2 linked regions of the Arabidopsis thaliana genome follow. The protein of the gene in region 1 interacts with the protein of each later gene in a pairwise test. Each region holds a gene or a part of one and is shown in the gene's direction. Other genes may lie near its edges. The genes, in order: RD21A and AT1G72290.

Region 1 (3,600 bases):
GTGACTTGGAGCATGGAGGTGGGTAGGTGCGGTTCAAAGCATTAAAAAAAGAAAATTTACATGTAGTTTTGATATTCTTTTGTCTCGCACCGTATCGTCTCCATTCAAAGTATGTGTCTATGATTATTGAGTGTACATCTTATTATGATTCATTATAGAATGTAGTTCCCCTTAGGCTAGGAGCGTTAGTTGTGTCTCAATGTTTTTGGCCATATGTACACTAGCGTGTAATAAAGTTCTAAAATACTAATTAATGATTCGTTATTCAGTCATATTATACGTTTCACATTAATACTTTTTATTGAATGTATAAATTCCAATATCGTCATCAGTGTATCTCTACACGCAAAACTATTGTTGAGTTTTTTCTTTTCCAAAACTCTAAATTACAATATTATTTTTTTTATTTTGATAAGTATAATATTCGATGTCACTTGAATATAATAATTTTTATTAATTCTCTGACGAAAAAAAGAGAGCAAGTGTTCTATTGTCACAAGCTAACTCTTGAAAGCATTATATTAAAGAAGTTTGAGTAAAATGAATAAATTATAGAAAATATTTTGAGTCTTTTAATTTCGGAAGGAATCATAATAATAGAGACAACAATCTAATTTCATAATGGTAACTTGTAAGACTTTAGATTCTATATTATCAAAAACTCATAAGAATCTCGAGTTACATGTAACAATCCTATCCACGCGTCTTTTACAATACGTGAGAACACGCGCTCCTATTTGTGTGGACATTTTATTTTTGGCTTGCCAATTAGAGATCAGTGACGTCTCATCTCTTCCTACCCATATTGTCTAACCAATAATTGACCATCACATATTCACATTTATAGATTTCATCTTTACACTATTGTTTTTTTTTTCACTTATCAAAATATCTCAACCGACCCTGAAATTAATTAGGATTTTTAAATCGGATTTTGGCTCAAGTTTTTGTTTTTGAATATTTAAGAAAATAAATACAATTAAGTATAAGTTTAGAGATGATTTGTTCATTTATTTGAAGTTTTTGATTTTTTTTTTCTTATTAAAATGACAAAAAGAATGATTTGAGTTCTTTTCTTTTTTGGCTCAAGATTTATTTTGGCCCACTTTTCTTTTCAATATTATTAAGAAAACTTGACTCATAAATTTTTGTTGGGAAAAAGAGGAAATGAGAAAAGGGATAATAATAACAAACAAAAAAATGATTTGATGTTGGTTTGGGTTCCCTCTTTTTAGTTCAAATATAACATGAGTAATAGTGGTAAATGTACATTATTTGAAAAATTGTAAATAATGCACTATTTACTATTTATTATCTGATTTGCTACTCTTTTTTTTTTCAGTTTCAATTATAGTTCAACATGGAGTTATTTTTTTGTCAAACCCCATATGATATCTTATCTACAAAGAAGCCCATAAATCACTTATCTTCATTTATTTTAGATCCACTTATTTTTAATTCTTTTTTTCTGTTTTGATTCCGTTTCAACTTGTTGGATACATATAACTTTTATTGTTTCTCTATCGTATCAAAAAAATAATTTGGATTTTTCCTATCTTTTTTTTCTTCTAACATACGGATTTTTTCCTTTCCGAAATTGAACTTTCTAATAAAAAAATTCGGAACAAGTCACCATTATTTTAGAAAATTAAAAAGAGTGACGAACGAAAACATTAAAATAGAAAACTAACAATTATTACACTTATCTCATTTGGCTTTTATATATACCCCACCACCATCTCTTGTCCATCATACAATCGTCTTCTTCATCATTTTCTCTTCTTCTTCTCCAAGAAAACACTGAAGAAGAAATGGGGTTCCTTAAGCCAACCATGGCGATTCTTTTTCTAGCGATGGTCGCCGTTTCATCAGCCGTGGACATGTCAATCATCTCCTACGACGAGAAACATGGCGTCTCCACCACCGGTGGCCGTAGCGAAGCCGAGGTTATGAGTATCTACGAGGCATGGTTGGTGAAACACGGCAAGGCTCAGAGCCAGAACTCTCTTGTTGAGAAAGATCGACGGTTCGAGATCTTTAAAGACAATCTTCGTTTCGTCGATGAACATAACGAGAAGAATCTTAGTTATAGATTGGGTTTGACTCGTTTTGCGGATCTTACTAACGATGAGTATAGATCCAAGTATCTTGGAGCTAAGATGGAGAAGAAAGGTGAGAGAAGGACTAGCCTACGGTACGAGGCTCGTGTCGGTGATGAGCTACCGGAGTCTATTGACTGGAGGAAGAAAGGAGCCGTGGCTGAGGTCAAAGATCAGGGTGGTTGCGGTAAGTTTCTACTGGATCTAACCATCATTTTTAGTTACTCTTATCGTAGTATATCATTTTTTGATTCAATCATAAAGTTTTGAAACTTTTGGAAAATGACATATTTGCCCCTTCCGGAAATTATGGGTGTTAGTTAGCAAGACAAAACTCAATAAATGAAATTAATAGTACTAATAATTTAACAAATCATCATGTGTATAGGTCATTAGTCATTACTTAATTAGAGACGTTGACTTATAGTCTAGTTATTTTTGCTTGTGAGCTATAGTTGTTTTGTCCTAAGCATAAAAATAAGGTTTTACTTGGTTACAGGCTCACAGCATTTCAAATGTGTACATTTTGGTTATGAATTTCAGTTATAAGGTTTATGAATGAATCTGATTAACTATAACATTAAATTTCGTAGTCATGATTATGTTAGAAATTGCACATTATTTTAGTCCTCCTTACAGAACATTGATATTAGAATATATGTGTTCCTGTTTGATGTTAATGTTTTGTTGTAAGCTGATGTTGTTGACACTTATGATTGGTAATGAAGGGAGTTGTTGGGCGTTTTCAACCATTGGAGCAGTGGAGGGAATAAACCAGATCGTAACCGGAGACCTAATAACCTTGTCTGAACAAGAGTTGGTCGATTGTGACACTTCATACAACGAAGGTTGTAACGGAGGTCTTATGGACTATGCTTTTGAGTTCATTATCAAGAATGGTGGAATCGATACAGACAAAGATTATCCTTACAAGGGTGTTGATGGAACTTGTGACCAGATCAGGGTAAGTACATTGGTTTTTGTTTTGACAAGGAATTACATTTGATTATTAACACAACTTATGATTCTTATATCAATCCTCTTGTGGGTTTCTTGTTACAGAAAAACGCTAAAGTTGTCACTATCGATTCATATGAGGATGTTCCAACTTACAGCGAGGAATCGTTGAAGAAAGCAGTTGCTCATCAACCCATTAGCATTGCCATTGAGGCTGGTGGTCGTGCGTTCCAGCTCTATGATTCGGTACAAATTTAACCATCTTCTCATAGTTCTTAGGTGTTTGTTAGTTTTTATGCATATAAATCCATTTCACTTCTGTTGTTAATTGTATACGCCAATTACAAACGAAAGGAGAAACTCTGTTTGGTGTTTGCGTTTACACTTTACAAAAGAATTCTATGAAAAATTGAAAAAAATGTTGCTAGTGTTTGAAAATGTAAAGTTTTATTCATATATAAACGCATGAAACAATTGCATCTAATAGGTGGTTGAATATTAAGTAGCTTTTCACTATTTTTGGTCTCAAAATGTTCATATTGTT
Region 2 (3,790 bases), 9.9 Mb from region 1:
CTGACCTTATAGTACCGGAAAAATGGAGTTGTGACGAGATCTTGAAGCAAAGGATTCAAAACCTCAGTGTTGAGATTGTCAACTGTTTCATAATCACAGCAACAGTCCTCAATCATACCTTTGTATTTACCTGTTTTCTGTATAATATCCCAAAGGAAAATCAGAAAGACGAAAAAATCAAATCCTGATCAATACAATTAAGTCCACTGAAAGAGTGAATCTTACAACAACATTGATAATCACACATCCTGCAATAAATCAGTGGCACATTTCAGGGACAACGATTCAAAGCTTTCGCTCAACAATGTCATCAAAAGATTCAATTTTTATTACCCTGAATCCATTGGCTAAACAATGTGATCAAAAAGATTCAATATTTATTATCATGAATCCATAAGATAACAAATATCCACAATTTTTCTCAATACCCAACAAACTTAACATCACGAAAATGTACTTGAGAATCTTAAAGTCAAATTCTTTCATCTGTGATCAAAGCAAAAAGATTGAGAATTTAAGAGAGTAGAATCAAAAACCTGAAGTGAACAGCTACAAGAATTTCGATCGCTGAAGAAGAAACCGACATTGGAATTCGTCCTAGAGCTCACAGCAACTGCCAAAAACACGACAACCAAAGTCGCTAAAGGCCATCGCCATGTTTTTCTCTTCTTTTCGCTCTCTTCTTCTTTGATTGCGCCTTTTCCCATTATGACAAATTACAAAAATGGAAATTGAAATGGGACAAATAAATCCTTTTACAAATAAATATAAAAACACGTTTTTTGAGTCTTCCGGAATTTCTCAAAACCCCATTGTTGTGTTTGTTGTGTCTGAAGTTCGTCTTAAGCAAGCAATGAATGTCATGTAAATGCGTTACTTTCAATGCTGTATTTTTGACATTTCAGCGCGACGTGGGTTTTGTATAACACGCGCGTGTTGGAGCAGTTTGTTATGGTCTCGTGACGTGCATTAACCAATAGGATCCATTTGTTCTCGTAGTAATTAACACGTTGCCTTTTCAACGCTTCCCAGTCAACGACCATTCGTTTGACTAAACGCCTCTTCGGTCCACGCTGTCGTTTTATTGAAGGAATTATATTTTATTTTAATTGGGCCTGCAGGCTAAACTATAAGTCCGTCTGATATGGGTCGGGTTGGGCTTATGAGTTATGGGTCTGGTAGGGGTCAATTAGCTTAATTTCGATATGTGCCCTACTCTCGACCTAACGTTTTGAACACGTAAGAGAGAGTTTCTAATATTGAGTTGTCTAATTAACTCGATAGGCTTATACAAAGTGTTTCCGCATTTTACCTTCTTAATAACTCATCATTCACTAACTAAGAAAAGTTTTACTCAGACCATATCTTCCGCTTCTTGATTATTGTCAATTTGTTGTCACTCAATTTATCTCTTGCAAAATTTAGTTGAAATCATTTGGTTTCATCTTTGGCTCTTGAATAGTTGCATGTGTGTATTTAGTAAGTTCTTTTCAATTAAGAAGGAAGAATAAAACAAATTGTGGCCAGAAACAATTATGTTGAGTTTTATCTCATACGTTGGCTCATTCATCCCCATCTCTCTGCTTTTGAATCATTCTACTCCTCCCATTTTTTGATCGTCCTTTTTCCTGCTTCTGAACATGGATCATTGTGCATGTTCGGATGTTCCTCGATCGTGCTGAAACTCAAAGTCTGAATCGATTACCATAGACTCTCAACCCATCTTTGATATATAAAAAAGAGCCTTAACCCATCTCTTCTACTCTCCCTCTCTAGAAACAAACACATCACGTGATGATCTGTTTCCCCCCATACTTACGGGATGATCAGAATGTGGCATGAGGAAAAAGCCAAGAAATAAGTTGATAAATTTAAGGTTTAATTTAACAAAAATGAGAGATTAATCTTTTCATTTTAGGGTCGCACGCGGTGTTTTGTGCAACCGCAGAAACTTCCTATAAATACCGATACAATGTGCATGCTTTCTACAACTCAACTCACTCAAACCAAAAAAAGAAACATCAAACCCTAAAACACACATAACAATCACAAATGAAGAATCCTTCAGTGATCTCTTTTCTCATCATTCTCCTGTTTGCTGCAACTATTTGCACCCACGGAAATGAACCGGTGAAGGATACAGCCGGAAATCCACTTAACACCCGCGAACAATACTTCATCCAGCCGGTTAAGACCGAGAGTAAAAACGGAGGTGGTCTTGTCCCAGCCGCCATTACAGTACTTCCCTTTTGTCCACTTGGCATCACCCAAACACTTCTTCCCTACCAACCCGGCCTACCGGTTAGCTTCGTATTAGCACTTGGCGTAGGATCAACCGTTATGACATCTTCGGCTGTAAACATCGAGTTCAAGTCCAACATCTGGCCGTTTTGCAAGGAGTTTTCCAAGTTTTGGGAAGTTGATGATTCCTCATCAGCTCCCAAGGAGCCTTCAATTCTCATCGGTGGTAAAATGGGGGACCGAAATAGCTCGTTTAAGATTGAGAAAGCTGGAGAAGGAGCTAGAGCAAACGTTTATAAGTTGACCACCTTTTACGGAACCGTTGGAGCCATCCCAGGGGTTTGGTTAAGCGCACCACAACTAATTATCACCAAGGATACGGCTAAGACCTTACTCGTCAAATTCAAAAAGGTTGATGATGCTACTACGGCTACTAGCAACTTATACTTCCCGGGTTGATAATTTAGGTCTAAGGATGTTCCCGTTCTACTAATCAACTGGTAAAAATTATTGTAATATTAAGCCTGAGACTCGTCCATGGCCTAAAATAATGAGTTATTTTCAAATTTCAATTAATAAGAAAGAAAAATGTGGCCAGATCCAGATACATAGATGTTGAGAATCATTCATAGGCATTGCTGTTGAATCTGTTTAAGGCATGAAATAGTTTTCTTCTTCATTCTACTTTGTATCCGAAAATTTTCTCTCCTCTTGTAAAGATCTTGAGCTTGAGAAAACATTGATCATTCATAGTATAACTTGCTGGACAGAATCTAGCTCCGGACGTGGATCTCGTGACATCGACTAATCAAACCGGATAAATAAACGTGTATGTCTCTTGCTTAATTGAGAGATTAAGATATTTGAGGAGTATCTCAAGGTTTTATCAACAAAGAAACGTAACACTATTCTTTTGATCACGATAGGGTTTCTTTTTTTGGCGTTACTCTATATAGCTTATTTTCCCAAAAACACTCAAAACGACGACGTTTAGCAAGACATATATTATCCAATAAGTTTTAAAAGTCTAAATCAAAAGCTTTCGTTTCACAAAAACCTCTCTCTTTTTTTCTCTCTCTCTCTCTGTCTCTGAATCTTCCATTGATGTTTAGGTATGTCTCAGTTTCTCAGATTCTCATGCTTTGTCTTCTTTCGCGCGTCATACGACTCTTTCTTTTCACTCAATGTCTCTTTGGTAACTATGCACACCAAATGTTCGATTAAATGCCGCTTACAGACCCCACTTGAGTTATTCTGTTAGCATCACAGATTTTTTTGTTTTCTTAGACCTCTTAAGAACGGAGAAATTTCATGGAAGCCAAAGTTGGTTTGATCATACGATACATTCCAGATTTCTAATCAAATCCTTTTATAAAAATCTGCTTTTGATCATGTTAAAGCCAAAGGGTTTTACATAGCTAGAGAGCTACATGTATATAGAAATCGTTTGAATGTCACGAGCTGCATAAATTCCTGTTCTTTACATCATCAAAGCTTCTATTACCATCAAAATTATAATTTACATGGAAATGATGGTTAACATATGCAA

The links.
Region 2: the proteins of RD21A (region 1) and AT1G72290 interact in a two-hybrid assay, tested with the Arabidopsis thaliana proteins (one study listed by BioGRID).

What each region holds. Positions count from the first base shown.
Region 1 is NC_003070.9:17,283,821-17,287,420, reverse strand, and holds the start of RD21A (Granulin repeat cysteine protease family protein), read left to right. Parts: upstream 1-1,671; 5' UTR 1,672-1,811; coding exon 1,812-2,286; intron 2,287-2,827; coding exon 2,828-3,063; intron 3,064-3,161; coding exon 3,162-3,302; intron 3,303-3,600.
Region 2 is NC_003070.9:27,213,800-27,217,589, forward strand, and holds AT1G72290 (Kunitz family trypsin and protease inhibitor protein), read left to right. Parts: upstream 1-1,987; 5' UTR 1,988-2,052; coding exon 2,053-2,700; 3' UTR 2,701-3,058; downstream 3,059-3,790. Other genes in the region: ERO1 (endoplasmic reticulum oxidoreductins 1), read right to left, coding at 6-137, 537-707. UniProt on the Arabidopsis thaliana protein: Water-soluble and chlorophyll-binding protein that probably does not function as a chloroplast chlorophyll carrier and is not involved in photosynthesis.